Astyanax mexicanus: one gene and its partner. The main gene of each other region encodes a partner of the protein of the gene in region 2 in a complex. Links are inferred from orthologs where the notes say so. Each region holds a gene or a part of one and is shown on either strand. Other genes may lie near its edges.

Region 1 (7,783 bases), on a different chromosome or scaffold from region 2:
TTATTCGAACCCAAGTCATCTAAGCAATGTATTAATTACTAACGTATAAATAAGTGTATAAGATCATAATTTTCACTATTAAACTCAATTCTTTAAAACTCGAACTCCACTAATGGTGAGACAGTGCTGGTCTGTGGGAATGCTGATTTTGCGGGGAGCTGGATCTGGTTAAATGTCGTTGGCGGGGGTTCCCTTGCTCTTGCGGCCGGGCAGGGGGAAGGCGGATTTGCTCTGGGGCTGGGTGAGGCGGCTGGTGAGCGTGGTGAACGGCTCGATGAGGGAGCTGCGCTCCGTAACGCTCACCTCCCACAGCTTCACCTTCTCCCCACGAGCCCACTGCTGAGCCACCTCCTGCTCCACCTGCCGACGCTCCCGCAGATCAGCCTTATTACCCAGAACGATCACCATCACCTACAGGAGACAGATATATACATATATATATATACACAGAGGGTACAGTGTATAAATACAGATCAGAGCACTTAAAAATGATGAGTTTCTTTAATTTTACCAAATATAAAACCTCTGGAATATAATCAAGAGGAAGATGGATGATCACAAGCCATCAAACCACCAAACTGAACTGCTTGAATTTTTACACCAGGAGTAAAGCAGCATAAAGTTATCCAAAAGCAGTGTGTAAGACTGGTGGAGGAGAACATGATGACAAGATGCATGAAATTAAAACTGTGATTAAAAACCACCAGGGTTATTCCACCAAATATTGATTATTTCTGAACTCTTAAAACTTTATGAATATGAACTTGTTTTCTTTGTATTATTTGAGGTCTGAAAGCTCTGCATCTTTTTTTGTTATTTCAGTCATTTCTCATTTTCTGTAAATAAATGCTCTAAATGAGAATATTTTTATTTGTAATTTGGGAGAAATGTTGTCTGTAGTTTATAGAATAAAACAACAATGTTCATTTTACTCAAACATAAACCTATAAATAGCAAAATCAGAGAAACTGATTCAGAAACTGACGTGCTCTCTTCATTTTTTACAGAGCTGTATATATTGAGAGCATAATCATTCGTGTAAAAAACATAAAAAAACCTTTTAAAGCATCCCCAAATAATAACCAGTCAATATATTTGACTTTCCTAAGAAAACCTGAATCAGAAAACATATACTGTGCAGAAATATACTGTGTTGTTATGGATTTTGCCCTATATAAAATAGTTACGAATGTCTTCACTGTCGTCCGTCTCTTTACCTCTTTCTTGTCTCTGGATTTGTCGATTTCTTTCTTCAGCAGGTCGACTTTCTTGAAGGACTCCAGGCTGTCGACGCTGTAGACCAGCACAAATCCATCCGCCACAGAGAAATAGTGTTTAGGAAGATCTTGTCCGTCTCTAAGCCCTCTGGTGTCATATAACCGTAACTGCTCTCTCACTCCACGATCCGTCTCCACAGACGCAACATAAATATCCTCCTGAGTTTCATTCAGTTCTGCTCCTGAACCACAGAAAAACACTTTATACAGAGTCATGTGATAAATGCAGTTTATTCAATACAATCGATCAGAACTGAGTCAAATACTCTGTATTTCTGCACGCTGGAGAAAGTAAATTCACACAATAGACACAAAATCAGGAGAGATATGTTATAGTGTTCAGCAACTGTGAACAACAAAGACTGAAGGATTTTTATTCTTATTAACTAGTACAAATTGTAATTCCAGCTATTCCAGAACTGTTCCTTATTTCTGGATCAAATTCACAGTGTACACAGTGTTTCTGTCCACTCAAAATATTATGATTAACATCTACAGATCTGTAAAATCATTCTTAGTTACAGATATCTTACTTCTCGGTAAGATATCGATAATTCTAACTAGAAAAAGTCAGAAAAAACAAATGTATGACCTAATTTCTAGAAGGCATAAGATAACATTACATTACATTACATAACATTACATTACATTACATGTGGCAGACGCTTTTGTCCAATAATGATGTACAGAGTAGTAGACATTTAAGGTAAAAACATTTTTAGACAGGGCCTAAAGGAGGTCAGAGGGAAATAAGGAGGAAATAAAGGGAAGAGGGAAATAAGTGTAGAGTAGTTAGTATGTTAGAGGTGTTAGGAGAGTAAGTGCTCTTTGAAGAGCTCTGTCTTTAAAAGTTGATTAACATTAACATTAGATGACCTTTTAAAAGTAGTTTCAAGCACAATCGCTGCATTTCCACATTTTACTGTTTGAAATAACAGAAACAAACCTGATGTTTGGGCTCCCTGCATCTACCTTACATATTTAAGTTACACTTCAGTCATTTTCCTACAGTTTATAAAGACGTACTTGGTGGGGAAGTTTGTCAGGACAGCCCAACAGGCATGAAAAAGCAACCAGCTCAATAATAGGCTGCAATTTATACTAATTTATACTAGACGTAGTTTTAGTAGAAAGATGTGGAAAATGAAGGACTAACCCACACTGTGGTTTCCGTACAGTAACTGTTCAAGAATCGCTGTTTTACCAACAGAGGCAAAACCACAAACCACAACCTTACAGCCTTTTCCCATAATCAGCTGCTCCTCAAAAACACCTGCAATTAATGAATAGAGAACAGAATAGAATTAAAGAAAAGAAAACTATCGAATCATACAGCTGCAGCAGATACTCAGATTTTACTCAATTTAATTCTATTAATTTCAATTCAATTCAACTTAATGTATCTTTATTATCAGGACTGTGTGAGGGTATATTGCTGTCAAAGCATAATAACAATTAACAACAACAATCATAACAAACACACATAACACATACACATAAACAATATTTACACTGCTTAAAAAAGAATCATTATGATTATTATAATATATAATAAAAAATATTGTATTATGTATTATATAATAAATTTGATAAATTATCATCAACAATTATAATTATTTTACCATTAATCACTTTCATTAAACACATTAACCTTACAGTAATGATATCACAACAAAACACTATTTAAAATGAGAACACTATAATTTTATGCAGCTAAAGCTAAACTGGTGTAACACAGAGAGCTCGAGCTAACCTAAACTACAGCTAAAAGCGGGGTTTAATAAAAACTGATCTAATAAATAAAATCAGCCTCACCTTCTCTCAGAGATCAGCGGTTACCTGATTAATCCTTTAGTTATAGTTATAGATATATTTATAGTTATATAGTTATATTTATTAATAAGCGGGAGGGTCACTGTGCTGATCCTGTTTTATAAACCCTCATAAACAGGGCTTTTACCTGCGGTCAGTTCACTTCCGGGTGCAGCCGCGTTACTATGGAAACCAGTTTCCAGTTTCCAGCTTCCGCCTCGCTTCTGTTCCTCTTCTTACCTGCAGAGAGAAACACATACAAACACACAAACACACATACTAATATATACACTAATATATAGACCTTAATATATAGCTCTAATATATACACCTCTGAATAGACACAAATATAGACCCAAGTATATATCCACATTATACCAAAATTAAGACATAAATATAGAATATGGAATATCAAGTTGAAACCAAACCCTGTGTACACGTCTATATAATATATGTATACAGTAACTCTATACAGTTATACTGCATTCTAAACTGGCAGCTCTGTCAGAAGCTCAGAGTGATATTTCATTTCAGAATTATGACTCATTTTAAATTAAAACTCATTTAAAAATACATTTTCTTAAAACATGGAAAATAAATGCATATGAGCGTGTAGTTCTTCATTTTACACACAACATCATTGTAGATGTATTGCAGAATTGTCAAATGCATGTATTATTGTATTTTACATATACTTATAATATTTTAGTCCTTCATTTTCAAACATTTACATTTACAACAAGTACAAATAAACAATATTTTTATTTACCATATATATCAATTTTGTTTGAGATAAAAATGTTTGAAATCTTGTCAAACTAAAACGTCAAACCTTTAACATAAATTATAAAAGTCCTTGTGTTTCTACTTTACTAAATGTAAAGGACTTTTGTAGGATTATTATTATTATTATTATTATTATTATTATTATTATTATTATTATTTTATAGCATATCTTAATTTATTATCCTTATTTTATAAAGTTGCCCTGTTTGAACTACATTTCCCACAATTGTAGCGCACTTCGCCGCCGGAAACACTGCTGTGACGTTTTGATAAAGAGATCCGGGTCCTTGGCTCTTCCTTTCCGCTTAGTACGCCATCAAGTAAGGGAGATTTTCTGTTTTGGTGGAGATGAAATCTGTTTAAAATCACCCTCAGAATCCGGCCATCCGGGGGTTATAATTTGTGTAGTGAGAGCGGAGAGTGTAGGGATGCGCTGCGGGTCGTTATTTAGTTGATTTAGGGGAGATTTGTGTGTTTTTGAGGCGGATTTTAGCGGGTAGCGGCGGCGCTGTGTTCAGTGTGTGAGAGTGTAGGGCAGGCTGGAGCCGGTCTGTGTGTGTATTTATACATATAGCTGTATATAGAGGGTTAACGTGGGAAATGGAGGCTTTATAAGTTAAAACAGGCCTCTGTATCAGTTTAAAGATTTGTGTATTTTTATTTATTAGGAGTTTTATTACTGTGTTAACCTTTTTAGTTAGCGCTAACGTTAGCTAGCCTGGCTGAGCTGCATGTTGGACGGTTCGCATGGTGTCTGTGTGTCTCTGCCTGCAGGTTTCTAATGCAGCTTTATTTATTTACACGAATAATTTACTATCATTTTTCTTAAGAATAAGCTGACAGATATGAGCTACACTAACCTCTCTTACATCTAGTTAACGTTCAGCGATGTAAATCAGTATGTGTTCCCCCTAGGCATTGACAAAGCTTAATAATCATAAATATATACTATATTTTAATGATCTAAGAGCTGTCTATTCTAACACGAGTCTTATTAATTCTCTAGTACAAATAAGAAGCTTCCTAGTTAGTAAACTAACTTGGCAGAAAGCTGTCACCCCTAAATAATGCTTAATACTTAATGATGTAATGAATTAATGTTACTGTGTACTGTGGTTCCACTACAAAAACTCAACTAATAGAAACCGCATATTAAAGTGTTGAGTGTTTAGTGTGTTCTTGTTTCTCTAAAATGAGTTACTTTCAATCATTCTTAAAATCCTGTAAATTGATTTGTTATGGAATTAAACATGTTTACATTGACTCTCATTTGAAAAACAGGATTGGGATGTTCATTTAATTAATTTGATTAAACAAATGTATTGTTCTAATGCGATTTGCGAAAAGGGACAATCAAGTAAATCTCTGTAGATGGGCTTGTGCTTCTGTGAGAAACCTGTAAAGGACTTGTGGTATTAATTACAACAAATACTTTGTTTAATGTAAAACCTGCATTTAGGGTTGAAGGGGGCTGCTTAATATTTGTTAATGAAATGTAAAGGAAAAATAATTAACTTGTGCATCACTCTTTAAATGGTACCATTGCTCTAACCTGTTCATGAACTGTTGTGTGTGTGCTACAGGTGAGGCAACATGGGCGCGTACAAGTATATGCAGGAGCTGTGGAGGAAGAAGCAGTCGGACGTGATGCGTTTTTTGCTCCGCGTTCGCTGCTGGCAGTACCGCCAGCTCTCCTCCCTCCACCGCGCTCCCCGACCCACCAGAGCCGACAAAGCCCGCAGACTGGGGTACAAGGCCAAGCAGGGTGAGTCCCGGACGCTCGTGCTGAATTACATTTAAATTAAACTCACGTTTTGCTGTGATTTCCCTTACTGAACTCATCTCTTTTTTTTTTTTTTTTACTGATTTGCAATTTTGGCACCTTAACTTTTTAATCTGGCACAGATTTACATTAGCTTATGGTTTTACACAAATCTACTTCTTAATGACTTGCTGTCTGTTCTCTCTGAATTAAAGCTGAGTGATTCATCTGCAGTTTAGTTTGTGCTGCATCCAGCTTCATGAGGACAGTGTGTGGACAGTGCTAGTTTTCTGGTTATCATGATTGAAAGCATGTAGCTTCCCAATGTATTAAAGACTGTATTAAATCTGTATTGTACAACACTCACTACAAAATCTGTAAACTGTAAACCCTCCTGTTCTGTTCTGGGTGAGTTTGACCTGTAATAAAGTTTGTAGATCTAGGAAAAATAGCATTTTTTCAAGGTGAAATTACTTCTGGTTACTACTGAAAATGTTCATCTCGCATATTTGCAACCTTTTTAAGCTATTTTTTATATTAAACAAAATTGTCAAACACAATATAGCAACGTCACAGGTCACACTATGATTGTAAGCTAGAACTCGTCTGCAGCGTCCTGTGTGTAAATTAGAAGCTAGTTCAGGCTGTGTGAAGCGATGTTCTCGGCTGCAGTGTGAACTTTCTTTATTTAATCTCTGTTTAGTGTTGGTGAGTGTTCTCCAGCTTGTCTTCTCTGTATAATCTGTGCTGTTTGGATCTGGATCTCTGATATCTTGAATTTGTTTTCTGCAGGTTACGTTATCTACCGTGTGCGCGTGCGCCGTGGTGGCCGTAAGCGCCCCGTGCCCAAAGGTGCCACCTACGGAAAGCCCGTACACCACGGAGTCAACCAGATCAAATTCGCTCGCAGCCTCCAGTCCATTGCTGAGGTATGTAAATGATCTCTAGCGGAAGTTTATATTAAAGATTTTTTAATATAAACTTCTGTACAGCAGGTGAAAGTCAGGAAAGAGTGAGCATTTTAGATTTATATTTCTTAATAAGAACTAAAAACCAGCTGTATGCTTAGGAACAAATATATATGCTTTAAAATATTGCTGCTTTTTTTTTATTTTTAATAAAGCACCACAAACAAAATGTGATTACTCATGTCCATTGTTAAATAAATGCACTGTGAATATCACTTTTTGTATTTTTTGGTAGTTTAGAATAAAATGTATAAAAGTATTGTTTAAGTATTTGTATTGAATTTAAAGTATTGTATCAGTATTGAGGACATTAAAATGATACCGGCTCCTGGTTGAGGCTGGTGTTGGTAATTCTGGATCGTTTCTGAAGCTCCTCTCTCTCTCTCTCTCTCTGCCGTGTTTCAGGAGCGTGCCGGCCGTCACTGCGGGGGTCTCCGTGTGCTGAGCTCTTACTGGGTGGGAGAAGACTCCACGTACAAGTTCTTCGAGGTGATCCTTATCGACACTTTCCACAAGGCCATCAGACGCAACCCCGACACCCAGTGGATCACGAAGGCCGTGCACAAGCACAGGGAAATGCGCGGCCTCACGTCCGCCGGCAAGAAGAGCCGCGGCCTGGGCAAGGGCCACAAGTTCCACCTTACCATCGGCGGCTCTCGCCGCGCCGCCTGGAGGAGACGCAACACCCTGCAGCTGCACCGCTACCGCTAAAGAGTGTGATCTGCTGCTGTACATTCATCACAATAAAGAACCTTTTTATGGTCCACGTGCTGCCTGCTGTGACTTATTGATGTGTATTAACGGGTTCTTTTAGGGGTATTTACATTTAGTTAAATTTATGGTTCTGAAACTAAACCTTAGGCTGCGTTCACATTACCGGGCTGGAGTGACTCAAATCGGATCAGATTTCAGATCTGATTTTTTTTTCATAGCTGTGTGACTGTGCCAAATCCGTTTTTCCTGAATCAGATTTGAGTCACTTTCATTTTTTCGTATGTGGTCTTAATTTGGATTCGTATCCGATCCATGTGACATGAATGTGAACGGTCAAATCATTGGGAATTCAAGCGTCTTTTTGATTTTAGTCATTAGCATGATCACTACGTGCATCTCTCTTGACCCACACTGTATCTCTCGGTGCAGCTGTGCAGTTATAGCTGCAAAAAAACAGCAAAAGC
Region 2 (7,793 bases):
TAAAACTTACAGACTTTTACTTTAACAGAAGGTTGTGAAAGTTTTTTTGATATCTCACCATGTACAGCGCATGACATCATCAAAAGATTCAAAGAAACCCTTTTTTATTAATATCACTCGCCACTTTTTTAGCCTTTTGTTGCCCTGTCCCAAGTTTTTAAAGCTATGTTGCTGACAACAACTTCTAAATGTGTTAAAAAAAATTGTTATGGAAATGTGTTCTATGTTTTATTGTTAATAAAATAGGGCTCTATGCTATTTTAAATCATTGCATTTTTTTTTTTTTTACATTTTCCACAGCATCACAACTTTTGTGTATTAGAGGTCATAAGTGGAAACATTTATATACCAATTATACAAATATTTTGTGCTAATAGATTGTGCAATGTGTACAAATCCTGCCCTTAAAAACTACTCTAGGAAATAAAGAAGCAATTCATTTCTGTCAATATATGGCTTATTTCATAGCTTATTTCATATGCTCGTGGATTAGAAGATAAGCTCAAGTGAATTCAGTAAACATTAATTCACATGAAGTCAAGGAAATCCAGAATGGCATTTCAGTCTTATCACATTGAATTCAATCACCCGGCTAAGTCTTAAGCAGCCGTCTTCTTTCAGACATTTTATCCGCCGCTCTTCTTCACAGTGTTAATCATCTGCAAAATCAATTAAAATCTGAAGCAAGCTGAACTTGTGTTAATGCAGCGAGACCTTCAGTTCACTCACGCTGCAGGAGGCCTGTTTGCCATCAAATTATATTTCTTTATTAGGCAGTAAAAGCTTCCAGCCGGCAGCTCCAGTGAAAGACAGGAGGCAGCGCTTGCCAAGGAGAGAGAAAGCTCTGGGCTGACCCTGCGCCCTTCAACTGTGCCCATCCAGAGCCAACACAGAGGGGTGCAGACCCAGAGTCAGGGTAAATATGTCTCTGCATATGTCCAGGACAGATTTTGTGTGTGTGTGTGTGTGTGCTTAATGAAATCATTTCTGCAGTCTGTGGTATGGTATTAGACAGGGGAATCTAGGCATTTTAGAGTCATATTGTCCTGTATGAGATGACTGCAGCAAATAAAGCATGAGGTCATTGTTATACTGGCCACCAGATGGCGCCCTGGACTACTATACTAGACCTTTCACATTTTTTAATTAGAACACATGAAATTAAATGATACCTAGATTGGAAGACTATTTTAAGTCTATGTTTAAATAAAAGATTTTAACCCCTTAACAGGCCAGGATTCTTTTTAATTGTCTACCTGACAACCACTAAATGTTGAGGATTCTATTCAAGAATTACATAAAAAGTTCTCGTGTTTGAAAAGGAAAATTACAGGAAAGCATAATTGTAATAGAAAAATATAATAACATCTTTAAGTAAATCTGCTAATGTCAAAATATAATAAATACATAAAATTAATTCTATTGATTCATAAAATTGGCTCTTTCCTGGACTTCATTTTAAGATCAATATTTTCCTGAATACAAATCAAACGGTTTATGTCCTCCAAACCTTTAGTTTTGTTATCTTTGTCTAGTCTTTTTTCAAACCTGCAGAATTTGGGTTGATTTCTGTTACTGATCTGGAATTATTAAGTGGAGTAGAGAGAATACAGGGAGCTTCTCCAAGTTGTGCAATGTTTCAGAATGTAAATAAGTTATTCTACTGCAGAAGAAAGGGTTTTGTATCACCTAGACCTGTAGCCTGTATACGGGACAAGACATTTTATGGGGTTAACCAAAACTGATATCTAGGCCAAAATAGGAAAAAACTCACCCCACTCCCTATACCCTACAATTAAAGAGACCATATGGAAATAGATAAGCTGGTTATAATTAAAGGTAATACACATTTCAAATTTCAAACCACTGTAATGCTAGTATTTGTCATCTGAGCTTCATCATAGCCAAATAAATGAGCACTTTTGAATCAGGTCAACTATAGAGGCTGTTATTGTCATTCCATTAGGGGTGAGACAATATACCGATATATAATTTTGACTAAAGTTATTGCTTCATTACTTCACATAGTGGCACTATTCAAATGAACAGGGTAAACCTATCGGTTGTCAAATTCTGTGAAACTGACAACAGTAAATATATAATTCCTGGTATTTACTTATTTAGGAGTATATTATCCTCATCGGTAACATAGGTGCCATGAAGTATTGTAGAGAATTGTCACAGTATTGTGAAACCATCTTGATAATATTGTATTATGAGATGACCTGTGATTCCCTCCACTACATTCCATCATCCATCCTTTACAAAACAGACAAATATTATTAGATTTTGTTTCTACTGAATTAAACTAATACTTATTTTGTTGCATTTTAATATGTTCCTGAAATTAACAGAATATTTTATTCATATCATCAAAAATATTGTTAAAATTGTTACAAAATACCCTTGAATATTGTGATATTATTTAAGGCCCATTTTCCCTCCTAGCGCTGGAAAATATATTGATATTTTATCATATTGTAATACAGTTGTTTTTTCCGTATCGAAAATATGCCTACCGAGGATATCATTCCTGCTTTAAGAACACTGAGATGAACTGTACATTTTATTACAGAGTGTGTAAAAAAATCCTGATAAATGAATCGTGTGTAGCAAAAATGTTATGTAAATAATTGTACTGCATACATGAAAGTGTTTGGAGTATTTGAATAGGATTTTTTTTTTTATCTGCCGCACGACAAATACTGTGTAACATAAGATTATATTAGATTAAATACTGTGATATAATATTTTAACATATTGCCCAGCTCTATCAGTGCATGATTATGTACACCAACGCCGGTTTATACTGATTATATCTGTGTTATAATTATTCTGTATTGACTAAGATTAAGGCATAGCTAACGAGCTTATCGTGATAAACATTTTGGACATATCATCCAGCACTATGCCTCATCCTTGTGTTGTGTAGTGTTTGGCTAAGAAAACGGTAAAACTCAACCCAAACTAATGACTCACTCACAGGTGACCTGTATGTAATATTTGTAATTGTCATTTTAGCTCAATTTTTTTTGTCAAATTTATCAGATATGGAATCAATTAATATGGCCAGCTCGACAGTAATTGCAGTGTGTTTTTTTGTAGAAAGAATTAAAAACACCACTATAACTTGTTTTTTGCTTCTTCTAAATGTCTGAAACTGATATTCATTCAGACTAAACACAAGTTTCAGGTTTATTTTGTTTCAGTTGTATGCTCCTGAAATAAATAAAATATTTTAGTGTTTTTTTTTTTTCATACCGTCAATACTATTGTTAAAAAATATATTTCAATACCCTTCAATATTGTGATAATATTTTTAGATATATCATATATTGCCCAGCACTGGTGTTGTGTAGTCTTTGGCTAAGCTAATGGTAGACACCTGCACACAACTTTATTCACAGGTGACAGTTTTTATTTATTTATTTATATTTTTTAAATATTTTTTTGTTTTGCTTTGTTTTGTTCATAATGTCAATAATATCATTAAAATTGTTAAAAAAAAATCCGCTTCAATATCGTGATAATTTTTTAGCCACATATAATGCCCTGCCCTGGTGTTTTGTAGTCTTTGGCTAAGCTACCAGTAAACACCTGCACCCAAACTAATACCTCACTCACACATTTTTTTTATAAATCGAATACTGCTAGATTAACAGTTATAGCAGCTTGTTTTTTTTTTCTTTTGAATGTCTGAAACTGATATTCATTTGGACTAAACACAACTTTCAGGCTTATTTTGTTTAAACAGAATGCTCCTGAAATTAATAAAATATTTTAGTGGGTTTTGTTTTGTTTTTGTTTTGTTTATACCATTCATAATATCATTAAAATTGTTAAAAAAAAAAAACCTTCAATACACTTCAATATCGTGATAGTATTTTAGGCACATATTGTCCTGCCCTGGTGTTGTGTAGTCTTTGGCTAAGATACCGGTAAACACCTGCACCCATACTAATACCTCACTCACAGGTGACAGTTTTTATTTTAATCTTTTGCTCTATATATTTTTTTTATCGATCTTACCGGATGTGGAATGAAGTAACACTGCCAGATTAACAGTATTAGCAGCGTGTTTTTTATTTCTTCTGAATGTCTGAAACTGATATTCATTTACACTAAACACTACTTTCAGTTTTTTTTTTAATAGTATGCTTCTGAAATGAATACAATGTTTAACTTTTTTGTTTTGTTTATACCGTCAATAATATCATTACAATCGTTAAATATATACCCTTCAATATCGTGATAGCCCTGCCCTGGTGTTGTGTAGTCTTTGGATAAGCTACCGGTAAACACCTGCACCCACACTAATACCTCACTCACAGGTGACCGTTTTTTTTTTTTTTTTGCTCTATAATTATTTTATCGATCTTACCAGACGTGGAATGAAGTGACACTGTCAGATAAAGAGTAATAGCAGTGTGTTTTCGTGTGGAAGGAGTTAAAACACGGCTCTGCGTGCTCCGGGGGGCGTATGGAGGGGCGTATCTGTCCAGAGGCAGAGCTGAGTGTGCTTCCGTGTTTACTCCCCCGCGGGCAGAGAGGGGCAGGCGGGCGGCCGCTGGAACACAGTCAGGCGCTTAGCGACCGGGAGAGCAGCGGCTCGAGGACACCGACTGGATGGTAGAGAGGAGGTAGAGAGGAGGTAGAGCGGGCTTCAACATTGACTTTTACAGCGGAATGTTCACCCGAAGGGGCTATGGAGACGTCAAGAAATCTACACAGAAAGTTCTGGACCCAAAGAAGGATGTTTTAACCCGCTTGAAGCATCTCCGCTCACTGTTAGGTGAGTCTCGCAGCTCAGCTCTGATGCTGTGTGACACTGTGACAGCACCACTCACCGTGTAGCAGCCTGGCTAACCTAGCTTAGCTTTCACCTAGAGCTAGCTAGGTGTTATGTATGTATTAGCTGTGTGTGTTTGTGGCTAGCTAGCGTTAGCTAAATGCAGTGCAGGTCGTCGTGCCTTTGTTTCCCTGAATGAACATGTCTATTTTTCTTAAAATAAACAGAGAAACCTGAATTGTGTCTGTATTAAGCGATGAAAGGGGCTGCCATTGCATTATGTTTGTTTAGCTTAGTTAGCGTTAGCTAACATAGCTGGCAGACTGGTAATGCTAGCTAACGTTAGAGTCAGGTGTCATTTGGGCTTAATTGTTCAGCTGTGGCTAACGCTAACTATAGCTTGTGTTCTTTCTGCCTTAGCCGGTTAGCTAGCTAGCTTGCTAGCTGTAGCTATAGGTTAGCTGGGGTAGCTAGCCTCCGAGAGTCTTTAGGCAGCAAAATAAGCCGACTAATTAACTAGCTTAATTTTCTACCTGCCTATTGTGTCTAGTTCTTAAAATAGCCACCACTATTTTACACTCGGCTGTTAACGCTAGCTAACGTTGGCTAGCTTCACTCTAGCTACTGGCTCTATTCTTTGCTTGACAGCAGCTGCAGTAGCATTGTGTGACTATCCTCATATCACCCTTAGAAAATATGGTTATGGATTTTGCACGTTTCTTGCCTGGTCGTTTAAACAGTAGTAGCACGCAGTACTGCACATCACTTACACAGCTTTCCTGTCACCCAAAACATCTCCAAAATGTCATGTTTTTTTATTATTTCTAAAACAAATATTTCAATTATTAGCATGGCACAACAGCAGTCTTATTGGATAGTATGTGAGTATATACAGCTCTGGAAAGAAAATAACAGACCACAAAGATTTATGTGTTCCTTTTTTCCTCTGGAATATAATCAAGACGAAGATGGATAATCACAAGCCATCCAACTGCTTAAATGTTTGCACCAGGTGTGGCATAAAATTATCTAAAAGCAGTGTGTAAGACTGGTGGAGGAGAACATGCCAAGATGCACGAAAACTGTGATTAAAAACCAGGGTTATTCCGCCAAATATTGATTTCTGAACTCCTAAAGGTATACGAATAAAAACTTGTTTTCTCTGCATTAAATAAATGCTCTAAAACAATATTTTTATTTGGAATTTGGGAGAAATGTCTGTAGTTTATAGAATAAAACAACAATGTTTATTTTACTCAAACATATATCTATAAATAGAAAATTCAGAGAAACAGATTCAGAAACTGAAGTGATCTCTTATTTTTTATTTAAGAGCTGTATACGTATGTGTGTGTGTATATATGATAGTAGCTGCAGCATTGACAGAAACTGCAGAATTGTGTGGCTATTCTTATGTCACCCTAAAAAATATAAATTATGTAGCTAGTTATATTAGTTTTGTACGTTTCTTGCCTGGTTTAAGGTGTTTTTACACACTCAAACAGTAGCACACGGTACTGCACATCACTTATAACTATAGTTATATAGTTATATTGTTCTTTTTAACCAAAACATTGCAAACATTTTCAAGTTTTTACAGGAGAACAAGGAAACATTATCTTTCAATGGAAGTCAGTGTTAAAATAATTGATTCCATTTTAAAATACAACATTACTGGCCCTCGGTTGTATGTATAAAGCGAAAACATTCTAGACCAAGTTGATCTAGAAATAGATCCTCTTTCGTTTTGGGCATTCAAAGGGAAACACTGAAAAATAAAAAGGATAAAAGATTGTATAGAATTCTCACTTATGAGGCAAAAAATAATATCTTATTGTGACTTGTATGCTATATTCATCAACAGATTTATTATTAATCGAATTTGGTCACACTATCTTCAGTTTGTCAATAGTTGGGATTGCAAACAGATAAATCTACTATGAGATTTGTTAACAGATTTTGTTTGTGTAACATCGCTAATGTTTTGTGGTTTATATCACTTTTGAATGTGAGCTTGTTTGTTACTAGTTTGTTTGGTGATGCCATAAAAAGTCCAAGCCATTTTAAAGCGTATCTGTTGGTCCATTTATATGATTTAAATTGGACACAGTGTTAAAAAAAACAACTGTCACAATCAAATTAGTTATGTCACAAAGTGAGTAAAAAGGTTGTTGCTTGTTGAAAGTGATAATATAAAGTATGTAGCCTGTAGAAGGTGTTTATAAGGTGTCAGAAGTTCACAGTAGTGTGTGTGTGTGCTCTTGGATAGCCCAGAATTATATTTGGTTAGCTACAGTGCTCAAGTTACTCACAGCTACAGAGACTTCCTGTGCCAGTGTCCTGATGAGACATCTGACCAGCAGCAGACCAATATAGGGCTGTTGTTGACAAGCAAATCAGATTTGCCTCTTATTTATCACTTACACATGTTTGAGTCCCAGCTAACTGTAGCTGGTTTTGGCTAGTGTCAGCCTGGGCAGTTTACATGGAAAGCAGATCAGAAATGTTTGTTTTTATGTTAGTTATGTGATCTTTAGGCTTGGGCCTATGTGTGTTACTTTTTTAAGCATCGTTCTAAAACTAGTGTGACCTGCATTAGACTGCACAGCAGTGCTTTCACCAGCATAGGTTTCCCAGATTATCTATGATGAATGTTGCAAAGCTTGACTACTGACCTACCTGTCATTTTGAGCAGAAGTTGTGGCATAACCTTAACCTTAAATGACGTCTGTTTTCCAGAAGGCTTTGAAAGACTGCAAAGCTCAGCATGCATATCTCAGTGTCTTGAACCTTGCTGTCAAACATAATTGAGGTTTGATACTTTCACATCCAGAGTATTAACTGTTTGTGAATACAGAGAAAACATATTGTTCTTATGTGTTGTTGTTTTTTTTTTGAAAGTTTCTTTCACTGTTGGAGACTTCTTCAGGAAGTCAGCTGTACTGAACTCTCGTGTGCTGTTGATTGTTAAAAATTACTGTTCACCTTCACTGACAGTTTATTC

Evidence for each region.
Region 1: the proteins of ralgapa2 (region 2) and nkiras1 are in contact, whole or in part, in a crystal structure (PDB 9QU1), measured with the Homo sapiens proteins. The link is inferred for Astyanax mexicanus from reciprocal best matches to the Homo sapiens genes RALGAPA2 and NKIRAS1. Residues at the interface, in NP_065076.2 of Homo sapiens: Pro20, Lys21, Tyr51, Ser52, Gln53, Phe56, Tyr59, Glu60, Ile63, Arg99, Phe102, Arg103, Trp104, His105, Tyr106, Gln107, Ser108, Lys185, Ile186, Tyr187, Pro188, Glu189; in NP_001364280.1 of Homo sapiens: Lys6, Glu22, Leu24, Leu25, Tyr26, Glu34, Met39, Glu40, Asp41, Val42, Tyr43, Met44, Ala45, Ser46, Val47, Glu48, Lys54, Gln56, His58, Tyr60, His74, Tyr75, Ser77, Phe78, Lys108, Thr162.

Annotation. Positions count from the first base shown.
Region 1 is NC_064410.1:354,382-362,164, forward strand, and holds the start of nkiras1 (NF-kappa-B inhibitor-interacting Ras-like protein 1), read right to left. Parts: upstream 3,256-7,783; 5' UTR 3,093-3,255; intron 2,551-3,092; 5' UTR 2,528-2,550; coding exon 2,434-2,527; intron 1,460-2,433; coding exon 1,218-1,459; intron 412-1,217; coding exon 169-411; 3' UTR 1-168. Other genes in the region: rpl15 (60S ribosomal protein L15), read left to right, coding at 5,469-5,640, 6,430-6,566, 7,011-7,316. UniProt on the Homo sapiens protein: Atypical Ras-like protein that acts as a potent regulator of NF-kappa-B activity by preventing the degradation of NF-kappa-B inhibitor beta (NFKBIB) by most signals, explaining why NFKBIB is more resistant to degradation.
Region 2 is NC_064421.1:20,844,950-20,852,742, reverse strand, and holds the start of ralgapa2 (ral GTPase-activating protein subunit alpha-2), read left to right. Parts: upstream 1-4,538; 5' UTR 4,539-4,686; coding exon 4,687-4,792; intron 4,793-7,793.